Macaca mulatta: one gene and its partners. The protein of the gene in region 2 interacts with the protein of the main gene of each other region in a pairwise test. Links are inferred from orthologs where the notes say so. Each region holds a gene or a part of one and is shown on either strand. Other genes may lie near its edges. The genes, in order: ELOF1, C6H5orf22 and WBP11.

Evidence for each region.
Region 1: the proteins of C6H5orf22 (region 2) and ELOF1 interact in binary tests that used the Homo sapiens proteins (3 or more experiments, as listed by UniProt). The two-hybrid records come from large-scale screens. The link is inferred for Macaca mulatta from reciprocal best matches to the Homo sapiens genes C5orf22 and ELOF1.
Region 3: the proteins of C6H5orf22 (region 2) and WBP11 interact in binary tests that used the Homo sapiens proteins (3 or more experiments, as listed by UniProt). The two-hybrid records come from large-scale screens. The link is inferred for Macaca mulatta from reciprocal best matches to the Homo sapiens genes C5orf22 and WBP11.

What each region holds. Positions count from the first base shown.
Region 1 is NC_133424.1:12,293,173-12,296,909, forward strand, and holds the end of ELOF1 (transcription elongation factor 1 homolog), read right to left. Parts: intron 1,743-3,737; exon of another isoform or gene 1,557-1,742; intron 1,335-1,556; exon of another isoform or gene 1,334-1,334; 5' UTR 1,317-1,333; coding exon 1,201-1,316; intron 1,051-1,200; coding exon 980-1,050; intron 780-979; coding exon 715-779; 3' UTR 553-714; downstream 1-552. UniProt on the Homo sapiens protein: Factor involved in transcription-coupled nucleotide excision repair (TC-NER), a mechanism that rapidly removes RNA polymerase II-blocking lesions from the transcribed strand of active genes.
Region 2 is NC_133411.1:32,904,707-32,908,356, reverse strand, and holds part of C6H5orf22 (UPF0489 protein C5orf22 homolog), read right to left. Parts: intron 1,763-3,650; coding exon 1,565-1,762; intron 1-1,564.
Region 3 is NC_133416.1:17,239,792-17,243,541, reverse strand, and holds the start of WBP11 (WW domain-binding protein 11), read left to right. Parts: upstream 1-1,212; 5' UTR 1,213-1,321; intron 1,322-3,215; 5' UTR 3,216-3,260; coding exon 3,261-3,324; intron 3,325-3,750. UniProt on the Homo sapiens protein: Activates pre-mRNA splicing. May inhibit PP1 phosphatase activity.

The DNA of each region.
Region 1 (3,737 bases), on a different chromosome or scaffold from region 2:
AACCCAAGACATCACGGACAGCAAGGGATGTGCGCTGGCTGCTTTATTTAAGGGCTTGTGATTGACAGCTGTCCCCACCCCAGCCCTTGCTTCCTCTACAAAAGAAACTGAACACGAAACTGGGCTTCCTTGTTAGCATGGGGAGGGTGGCGGCTCCCTGTCAGGGCCCAGCCCAGGGACCTGGGGAACGGTGGCTTTGAATCCCAGGCCACGGGCACTAGAAGGTGGAGAAGGAGGGCGGGAAGTCCAGTTGAGATGGGCACGGTGCTGGTGAGGAGGCTGGAGAGGTCCAGTTCCAGCCTCTACTGGGCTTCCCTTGTTCAGGATATCAGGAAACAGCCCCCCACTTCTGCCGGGGGGGAGCCAGAGCCCCAAAGCTGGGAGGCCAGGGGCTGAAGAAGGGAACACAGCAAAGGCTTTTGGAGCCAAGAGAGGTCAGTTCAGGCCCCTCAGGCCCAGGAACCCGCCATCACTGCGTATCTATGAGCACACACTCACGGCCACCCCAGTGACACGTGCAGCCACACACACACCCACATCCACTCCACACTGGCACACACACCCACTCACACCCACGCCCACTCTACACACACACACAGAGGGCTGTGACAGCCCAGGACCCACACCCTGGACCCCTGGAATGTCTCTGGACCAGAACCGAACAGCTGGGTCCACAGTAGGCGGGGCTGCTCAGGGGGTGGGTCCTCTGTGTTGCTACTGATTGGCTGCCTCGCAGGCGTCTATCCAATCACTGTACACATCCACGGGTTCTGACAGATCTGAGCCGCTTAGGTCAAGGGTGATCATTGGCATTGGAACCCTGCCCTGCACCTTCTCACCCCACATAAATCAGTAGGTGGCACCTGTTCCTCTGGACGGCCTTGGCCCTGCACCAGGGCACACAGTGGGCCAGAGGAGCAGGGTCCGGACTCCAGCCCCCTCCCCATCCTCTGGAAAAAGCCCAGGTTTCTAAGGATACACGTTATGGGCGTCTGGAATTCCTCTAGGCACACAGTACAAGAGATGACTCCGGTGTTGCGGGCACGGTCCCTGAAACAGACCAAGAGAAGGGACTGGTGAGCAATGTGCCCGGGGCCTGTGGGTGATGACGCCTTCACCAAGGGAGGCAAGGGGCAGGATGGAGAACAGCGGGGAGGAGGTGGTGGGGAGGATGGATCCCTTGCCCCGTTCCCCACTCACATTTTCACATCACAGGATTTCTCGTGGTTGCAGAAGGGGCAGGTGAACTGGGTCTCGAGGGTGCCCGTCATCTTCTTCTTGGGAGGCGGCTTTCGTTTGGACTTTCTGCGCCCCATGTCTGCAGGTGGATGAGCCTGTGGGGAGTGGCAGATGTCAGTGGTTTGAGGAAACCACGCAGCCCCCCGCTCAATGCTCTAGAAAGCAGGCCGGAAAGAGGGTCTGGGACTTGCACTATGGTCTGGGGGCCTCTGCCCTTGAGCGATGAGGCCCTCAGTCCTGATACAGGAGGAAAATCCCCTGTCCCACTCTGGATGGAAGGGGTGAGCGGAGGTTCCAACCCCGTCTCTCTCACTTACTGCATGACCTGGGCAGGTTACTTAAGCTCTCTGTGCCACCGTTTCCTCATCCATAAAACAGAGACAAGGCCAGACATGGTGGCTCACACCTGTAATTCCAGACAGCACTTCGGGAAGCTAAGGTGAGAGGATCACTTGATGCCAGGAGCTGGATACCAGCCTGGGCAACAGAGTGAGGCATCATCTCTTAAAAAAAAAAAAAAAAAAAAAATTAAAAATTAGCCAGGCATGGTGGTGTAAGCCTGTAGTCCCAGCTACTTGGGAGGCTGAGAAGGGAGGATCACTTGGGCCCAGGAGTTTCAGGTTTCAATGAGTTATGATCCAGGCACTGCACTCCAGCCTAGGCAATAGGATGAAACCCTGCATCCAAAAAAAAAAAAAAAAAAAAAGGAAAAAAGGTCGGGTGTGGTGACTTACGCTTGTAATCCCAGCACTTTGGGAGGCTGAGGCGGGTGGATCACGAGGTCAGGAGTTCGAGACTAGCCTGACCACCATGGTGAAACCCCATCTATACTAAAAATACAAAAATTAGCTGGGCGTAGTGGCAGGCGTCTATAACCCCAGCTACTCAGGAGGCTGAGGCAGGAGAATCGCTTGAGCCCGAGAGGCGGAGATTGCAGTAAGCCGAGATCACACCACTGCACTCCAGCCTGGGCGACAGCGCGAGACTCCGTCTCAAAAAAAAAAAAAAAAAAAAAAAAAATTGAAATAAGGTTGCTATCGCACGAGACCCCGTCTCAAAAAAAAAAAAAAAAAAAAAAAGATTGAAATAAGGTTGCTATCGCACAAGACTCCGTCTCAAAAAAAAAAAAAAAAAAAAAAAAAAAGATTGAAATAAGGTTGCTATCGCAGAGGAGACTTGTGAGGCTGACACCAGGAATGGTAAGTACTTAGCACAGAGCTGGCCCATCATCGCTGGCGCCAATACAAGGAAGCCACTGTTCCTGGGGAAGGTGGCCCAAGAGACTCCAAGACAAGCCAGCTGTTCAGGGCCGGGTGGAGCCTAAGAGCCCAGGAGCTGGTGATTTTATACTGGCTGCTCCTCTTGTCAAGGGACATGTAAGTACCATCCACGAAGAGTGACACTCAGGGCATCTGATGGCCTCCATCCAGATGACAGACTACAGGGCAGAGAAGTGGGAACAAGCACCTCCGAGTAGAGGAACACTATGTGAAGGCTCAGGGGCAGCTGTCTGTCCCCTGGCAGGTGGAGGAGAGAGGAGGGACAGGTGGGAGGGTTCTGGGTGTTTGGATGGATCCTGGGAGCTACAAGGAGTGAAAGGGTAAAGTCACCCTGGGCTTTTGAGGGACTGCGGTGTGAGTCACAATCTGGATGAAGACAAAGGCACAGCCAGGACAGGGTTGTTGGGGTAGAGATGGCAGAGGGCGAGAGAGACAGAGGAGACGTGGCAGCGGAGCGAGTGAGTATGACGAGAGGAGGAAAGTCCAGGATGACTCCCAGGTTTGTGGTGGGGACACAGTGGCTAGGGGGAGAAGATGGCATCATTCTCTGATGTGTAACATAGAGGAAGGACAGGGTTTTGGAGAAAATGATGGGGTTGGGTGGCAGAGGGACATCTAGGAACAGATGTCCAGGAGGCAGGTGGGTGGGGAAACAGCAGCAGTTACCACCGAGCCCAACTCCCCTGCTAGGCACGGTGCTCAGGGCACTGTGCTTGCCATCCCTGAGCCTCCTATGGCGCCTCCTCCAACACACACACACGACTGCTGGTTCTAGCATCGTTCCTCTGTGGCAGGGGAGGTCAGCAGTCTGCCAGGATCTTCCAGAATAAACAGTGGAGTTTCATTCATTATTTGCTGATCACTTCCTATGTAACACCCCCAACTCTTTGTTTGTTTGTTTGTTTGTTTTTGAGATGGAGTCTTGCGCAGGCTGGAGTGCAGTGGCGTGATCTTGACTCACTGCAACCTCTGCCTGCCTGGTTCAGACGATTCTCCTGCCTCAGCCTCCCGAGTAGCTGGGACTACAGGCGTGTGCACTACCACGTGTGGCTGATTTTTTGTATTTTTAGTAGAGACGGGGTTTCACCGTGTTAGCCAGGATGGCCTAGATTTCCTGACCTCGTGATCCGCCCGCCTCGGCCTCCCAAAGTGCTGGGATTACAGGTGTGAGCCACCACACCTGGCCAACACCCCCAGCTCTTAACTGTGATGCTTCCA
Region 2 (3,650 bases):
TCTACCTGCCCTGACCTCCCAAAGTGCTGGGATTACAAGTGTGAGCCACTGTTCCTGGCCTCAAAATATTTTCAAACCTTAAGTATCTTGTAATAATCTTAAATACCATTTTTTAAAAAATGTAAGTCTTGGCTGAGCATGGTGGCTCACGCCTGTAATCCCAGCACTTTGGGAGGCCGAGGCAGGTGGATCACGAGGTCAGGAGATCGAGACCACGGTGAAACCCCGTCTCTACTAAAAATACAAAAAATTAGCTGGGTGTGGTGGCGGGCACCTGTAGTCCCAGCTACTCAGGAGGCTGAGGCAGGAGAATGGCGTGAACCCAGAAGGCGGAGCTTGCAGTGAGCCAAGATCACACCACTGCACTCCAGCCTGGGCGACAGACAGAGACTCCGTCTCCAAAAAAAAAAAAAAAAAATGTAGGTCTTGGAAGCATTTACTCAGGGTAACTTGAATGTATGCTCCTGGAAAAAAAAAAAAAAAGTTAAACAAAACAGTATAAGTCTTGGATTTGCTCAGGTTTCACCAAAATATTCTTTTGCTCATTATATGGTTTTGCTGTATCTCCACTCAAATCTCATCTTGAATTGTAACTCCCACAATTCCCATGTGTCATGGGAGAACCCAGTGGGAAGTGATTATGGCGGCAGATCTTTCCGGCACTGTTCTCATGACAGTGAATGAATATCAGGAGAACTGATGGGGTTTTTTTTTTGTTTGTTTTGTTTTCTTTGAGACGGAGTCTCACTATGTCGCCCAGGCTGGAGTGCAGTGGCACTATCTCGGCTCACTGCAAGCTCCGCCTCCCGGGTTCATGCCACTCTCCTGCCTCAGCCTCCAGAGTAGCTGGGACTACAGGTGCCTGCCACCACGCCTGGCTAATTTTTTAGTAGAGACGGGGTTTCGCCATGTTAGCCAGGATGGTCTCCATCTCCTGACCTCATGATCCGCCTGCCTCAGCCTCCCAAAGTGCTGGGATTATAGGCGTGAGCCACTGCGCCCAGCCAAGATCTGACGGTTTCATTTTTTTTGAGACAGAGTTTCATTCTTGTTGCCCAGGCTGGAGTGCAATGGCACAATCTTGGCTGACCACAACCTCCACCTCCTGGGTTCAAGCGATTATCTTGCCTCAGCCTCCCACGTAGCTGGGATTATAGGAATGCGCCACCACGCCTGGCTAATTCTGTATTTTTCATAGAGATGGGGTTTCTCCATGTTGGTCAGGCTAGTCTCGAACTCCTGACCTCAGGTGATCTACTCGCCTCGGCCTCCCAAAATGCTGGGATCACAGGTGTGAGCCACCGTGCCCGGTCAGAGATCTGATGGTTTTAAACCAGACGTCTCCCTGCAGAGAAGCTGTCTCTTCTTGTCTGCTGCCATGTGAGACGTGTCTTTCACCTTCTGCCATGATTGTGAGGCTGCACCAGCCACGTGGAACACTAAGTCCATTAAATCTCTTTCTTTTGTAAATTGCCCAGTCTTGGGTATGTCTTTATCAGCAGTGTGAAAATAGACTAATACAGTAAATTGGTACCAGTAGAGTGGGGCACTGTTGAAAAGGTACCTGAAAATGTGGAAGCAACTTTGGAACTGGCAGAGGTTGGAACAGTTTGGAGGGTTCAGAAGAAGGCAGGGAAATGTGGAACGGTTTGGAACTTCCTAGAGACTTGTTGAATGGCTTGGACCAAAATGCTGATAATGACACGGACAATGAAATCCAGACTGAGGTGGTCTCAGATGGAGATGAAGAACTTGCTAGGAACTGGAACAAAGGTGACTCTTGTTATATTTTAGCAGAGACTGGTGGCATTTTGCCCTCGCCCTAGAGATGTGTGGAACTTTGAACTTGAGAGATGATTTAGCATATCTGGTGGAAGAAATTTCTAAGCAGCAAAACATTCAAGAGGTGACTTGGGTGCTGTTAAAGGCATCCAGTTTTTTTATTTTTATTTTTTATTTTTGAAATGGAGTCTTGCTCTGTCACCCAAGCTGGAATGCAGTGGTACCATCTCGGCTCACTGCAGCCTTTGCCTCTCAGGTTCAAGCGATTCTTTGCCTTAGCCTCCTGAGTAGCTAGGATTACAGGTGTGTCCTGCCACACCCAGGTAAGTTTTGTATTTTCAGTAGAGAAGGGGTTTCGACACGTTGGTCAGGTTGGTCTTGAACTCCTGGCCTCAAATGATCCACCCGCCTTGGCCTCTCAAAATGCTGGGATTACAGGCGTGAACCACTGCACCTGGCCAAGGCATTCAGTTTTAAGAGGGAAACAGAGCATAAAAGTTTGGAAAATTTGCAGCCTGACAATGTGAATGAAAAGAAAATTCCATTTTTTGAGAAGAAATTCAAGCTGGCTGCAGAAATTTGCATAAGTAACGAGGAGCCAAATGTGAATCCCCAAGACAATAAAGAAAATGTATCCAGGGCATGTCAGAGACCTTTGCGGTAGCCCCTCCTGTCACAGGCCTGAAGGTTTAGGAGGAAAAAATTGTTTCATGTGCAGGGCTCAGGGTCCCAGTGATGTGTACAGCCTAGGACTTGGTGTCCTGTGTCTCAGCTGCTCCAGCCATGGCTAAAATGGACCAATATAGAGCTCGGGCTATGGCTTCAGATGGCCTTGGCAGCTTCCAGTTAGTGTTGAGCCTGCGAGTGCACAGAAGTCAAGAATTGAAGTTTGGGAACTTCTGCCCAGATTTCAGAAGATGTATGGAAATACCTGGATGCCTAGGCAGAAGTTTGCTGCAGGGGCTGGGCCCTCATGGAGAACCTCTGCTAGGGGCAGCGTGGAAGGGAAATGTGGGGTTGGATCCCCACCCAGAGTCCCTAGGGGCACCACCTAGTAGAGCTGTGAGAAGAGGGCCACTGTCTGTCCTCCAGACCCCAGAATGGTAGATCCACTGACAGTTTGTACCGTGTGCCTGGAAAAGCTGCAGACACTCAACACCAGCCCATGAAAGCTGCCAGGAGGGAGGTTGTACCCCGCAAAGCCATAGGGGCAGAGTTGCCCAAGACAATGCGAACCCACCTCTTGCATCAGAGTTACCTAGATGTGAGACATGGAGTCAAATATGATCTTTTTGGAGCTTTAAGATTTGACTGAAGATGGACTTCAGACTTGCATTGCCCCTTTGTTTGGGCCACTTCCTCCCATTTGGAACGGCTGTATTTACCCAATGCTTGTACATCCATTGTATCTCGGAAGTAACTAACTTGCTTTTGATTTTACAGGCTCATAGGTGGAAGGGACTTGGCTTGTCTCAGATGAGATGTTGGACTGTGGACTTCTGAGTTAATGCTGAAATGAGTTGAGACTTTGAGGGACTGTTGGGAAGGCATGACTGGTTTTGAAATGTGAGGACATGAGATTTGCGAGGGGCCAAGGGTAGAATGACATGGTTTGGCTGTATCCCCACCCAAATCTCATCTTGAATTGTAACGCCCACAATTCCCACATGTCGTGGGAGGAACCCGATGGGAGGTGATTGAATTGTGGGGGTGGGTCTTTCTTGTGCTGTTCTCATGATGGTCAATGAGTCTCATGAGATCTCATGGTTTTAAAAACCGGAGTCTCCCTGTACAATCTCTCTTTTCTTGTCTGTCACCATGTGAGACATGCCTTTCACCTTCCACCATGACTGTGAGGCCTCCCCAGT
Region 3 (3,750 bases), on a different chromosome or scaffold from region 2:
CAACTTAGTTCATCTTCAAAATTCAAGATTATTTTCTTTTTTATGTTTTACCTGGTTTATCAGCTTTAACCTACCAGATCTTGTCATTGCTTTCCGACACTGAAATTCAATCTAAAATCAAATCAAGAATTTCCTAACACAAAGGTAAGTTTAGGTATAGGACCGATCATATTACCTTCAAGGGCAGTTTAAAGATTCTGCCAAAAATTAATATGTATCTCCAACAATATTTTGAAATATTTATAACTGGTGGTAAGAATAGACTTCCTACAAGGGATAGTCTGGTTAAGATTAGAAATAACCAAGCGTACCCTCTAAGATAGTTTTTTAAATGTTTAAACTTACCTTTAAGGGAAATAAGTGGGGGCTGACTCAGGGAAAGAGGGGATAGTAGGTAAGGAAAGGGCAAAGGCTAGAGTTAAGTGAATAATCCTGTACGTAGAGTGACATCATAGAGGACTTTTGGCTGGTGAATAGACCAGTAGGGAATACGGCCAATATATATCAACCTTGCCACTCATAAACTTAAAACCGACTGCATATGTATCCCCGTATTTCTTCTTCAGAACACTACTAATAAATAAATAATAAATCACCGCCCGTATAAGCAATTTGCGACTCTAATACGGGTGCTGATTTATTTGTTCAGGTGGTCTACAAATGTTCTGTTCTGCGCGTCTATTAAATTTCCACACGTACCAGACGCCCACATGGGATAACCTGATGCTTACAAAGCGGATTAAACTCAGTAGCAAATGTTATCTGGGTATTCGTTTACAAACGGAGACACCCCTAAAGGATCGCACCTGCTTGCGTCATAAGAAACATAAAAATCCAAAAACTAACGTAATTCCAAGAGACACAAAACGCGGAACGCTTCTGCATCTGCAGAAAGTACCGTTCTCGGACAGGTCAACGCATTACGCCCCCAGCAACTAGGTCAGAACGCCTCCAACTTGAGAGACAGGACCGTCAGCCAATCAGATAGCAGCTATCTTCTTTCAATTCCTATTGTACTAGATGAGCGCAATGAGGCGGGCTCTTAGCCGACAACCAACCAATGGAGTATTGTATGGGACCGGAAGAGACTCTGGTCCTGGAATTCTTGAGTATTCTCTATGGTTCTAGGGCCGAGCTGCGCTAAGAGACAGCGGGACAGAGGAATGGGAAATGACGTAAGGATTGCGGAGGGGCGCGAGGTTTCAAGATGGCGGTAGCTGAGGGGTAGACCGAGAGGCCGAGTTGAAGGCCCTTACGAAGTGAAAGAGGCCGGGAATCGCCCCCTGCCCGCTTCTCGTAGTCCTGGGAGCACAGCAGAAGTGTGAGTGTATGGAGTTGCTCTACTTCTTTTCCTCATCTCTTTCGTCCCTTCCACGGCCCGCGCAGTGGCTTGGGGGACACCCAGTCCCTTTGCCCCGCTCCTCCTCTCCCCGGCTGGGGTCTCCCGGTTGCGGACTGGGGTATTCCAGGGCCTGGGGTGGCGCGGCGACCAGTGGTTACGCGGTTGGCATCGCCCGGGGCGGTTGGGGCCGCTTCCTATGCACGTTGATTGGTAGCCTTAGGTTTGACGTCTTGTACCTCGAGTCATGGTCGGTCAACCGTCACTATGGTTTCGGCAGTTGCTGGTGTTGCCTCCTTTGGTGGACCTGGACCCTATCCCATTGAAGGTTTTTTGGCTATTTACAGTTCCCCAACGGTTATTTGGCTTGATTTTTCCAGTCGCCCCCGCTTGTAGACAAAAAACTAATCTTTGCAGACTTAAGCTCCCGTATCTTCCGTAAAATTCTCTGTAATTCGTATCCGTTGTGTTTCATTTGTGGGGGAGGAGATTCAGAACATGAGCCCGCTTGAGAAAGGAAAGCACGAAAAACGCAGGCAATCAAAGATGGGAGAGCTTGTATTTGTACGAATTTTGCATGTTTTCTTCCTTCCCTACCTCCTACTCCCTGCTGCTCTCCCACCCACACCTCCACCCCCCAGTTTTTCTGAGAAGGAAACCACTTGACAGGGTGTATGGTAGCTAGGGCAGGAATATGGATCCATTATAAAGATTATAGTTAAATAGTGAGTCAAACATCACAAGATATTTTATTTGTAATCCCGTTGTATCATCAGAGCTTTGTTATAAAGTAATTGATGTCCCCATTTTTTAGATGAGGAAGCTAAAAATCAGAGCCTTTGACACCACCGTCTTGAAGTAATTGCCACCAGAACAGCTATGAAACATCTAGCTTTCTGAAACATCTGGCTTTCGGGGCAATTGGACACTTGGCGAAAGACACATTAACTGTAACAAACTGGTCTGAAAATCTTCCCTTTCTTCCCTTTAAAAAGTGTCTACTTGCAAAAGGAAACAAATTTGTCCACCTTTGTTACTGGAAAGAATGCTTCAAAAAATTAAGCCCCATTCTTTTGGAATAAGAGGAAGAAGTCATGTAATAGGGTATTGTGTTAATAAAAGTTTTAGCTTACAAAATATTTTTTCCTCAAACAAGAATAAGTATTCCCTTTAGTTACCTTAAGAAATATATATTGGGAGTCAGGTATTAGAAAAATATGTGTCTTAATATTTAAATTTTGGGGAGCTCTCAGTGTAGCACTAATTTCAAATACTTGCATTTTTAGTTGTGTTTTGAACTCTTGAGAGTCAAGCATTATATCTGAATTAAATATGCTTAAATGAATGAGTTTTTAGTGTCTTAGAAGTGTTGAGAATGTACAGCATACATGCCAAGAAAAACCATGGAGCGAGGCAAGGGTGAGGTGTTTGTTTTGAGCCTAGATCCATTACCCCCATTCCGTTCGTATTCTTCTTTTACAATTACGTGTTAATAAAGGGAGGTTATAGAAGAAGGACTAATGAATTCTGATGTTCATGGTTTGTGCCATATCGTTAAAGCATTTTCTAGTTGTTTTTTTATCAGTTGACAAAGTCAGTGCTGTGATCCATAAGAAAAAAGATAAAGTAATGACTTGAGGATATTCAAAGTGGTCTTCACACTCATCACATTTCCAAAGAATGATGGAGATCTAAATTTTCATGGTAAAGAAACTTAATGCCATCTTTCTTGGACATTAAAGTCAAAACTAAGGAAAGAACAGTCTCACAGAATTTCTAATTAAAGGAATTTTTTTTTCAGAGATTGGTAGGGACTAGAAAAAGGAAGAAATAAATTTAGGAGATATAAGCTATTTCTTTGTCTTCACCTTCACAGGTTTTTCTTTTTTTAATGAACAAGTAAACCATACAAATTGTCAACATGGGACGGAGATCTACATCATCCACCAAGAGTGGAAAATTTATGAACCCCACAGACCAAGCCCGTAAGTGTCCATTAGTGTGGAATGATGAAGTAGGAGAGTGTTAAAAATTGCACATATTAGGGAATTTATTTCTCTGTGGCTTAATTACAAGACCAGCAGTGATAGGAGGAATAAATTGTATATTCAGTGTTTGGATGGGAACATTAAGACGTTAAACATGCAAATAAATTAGTACCCATATTTTAGTTTTCAGATTTGATTGACTTGCAAAGTAGAATTGGCTGAAAGTTTTCTTTTTGTATTTGAAATTTTGAGCAAATTAGTTTTGCGAGCCCTTGTTTCGCATTTTATGTTATCTTTTTCTTTCAGATTCATAGTTGTTTTTTATGGAACATTAAACAAAAATGTCTTGACATTTTTGGTTGTCATAATTAGAGGGATGCTCTTGGCATGTAGTGGATAGAGGCCAAAGATGCTGCTGTTTTA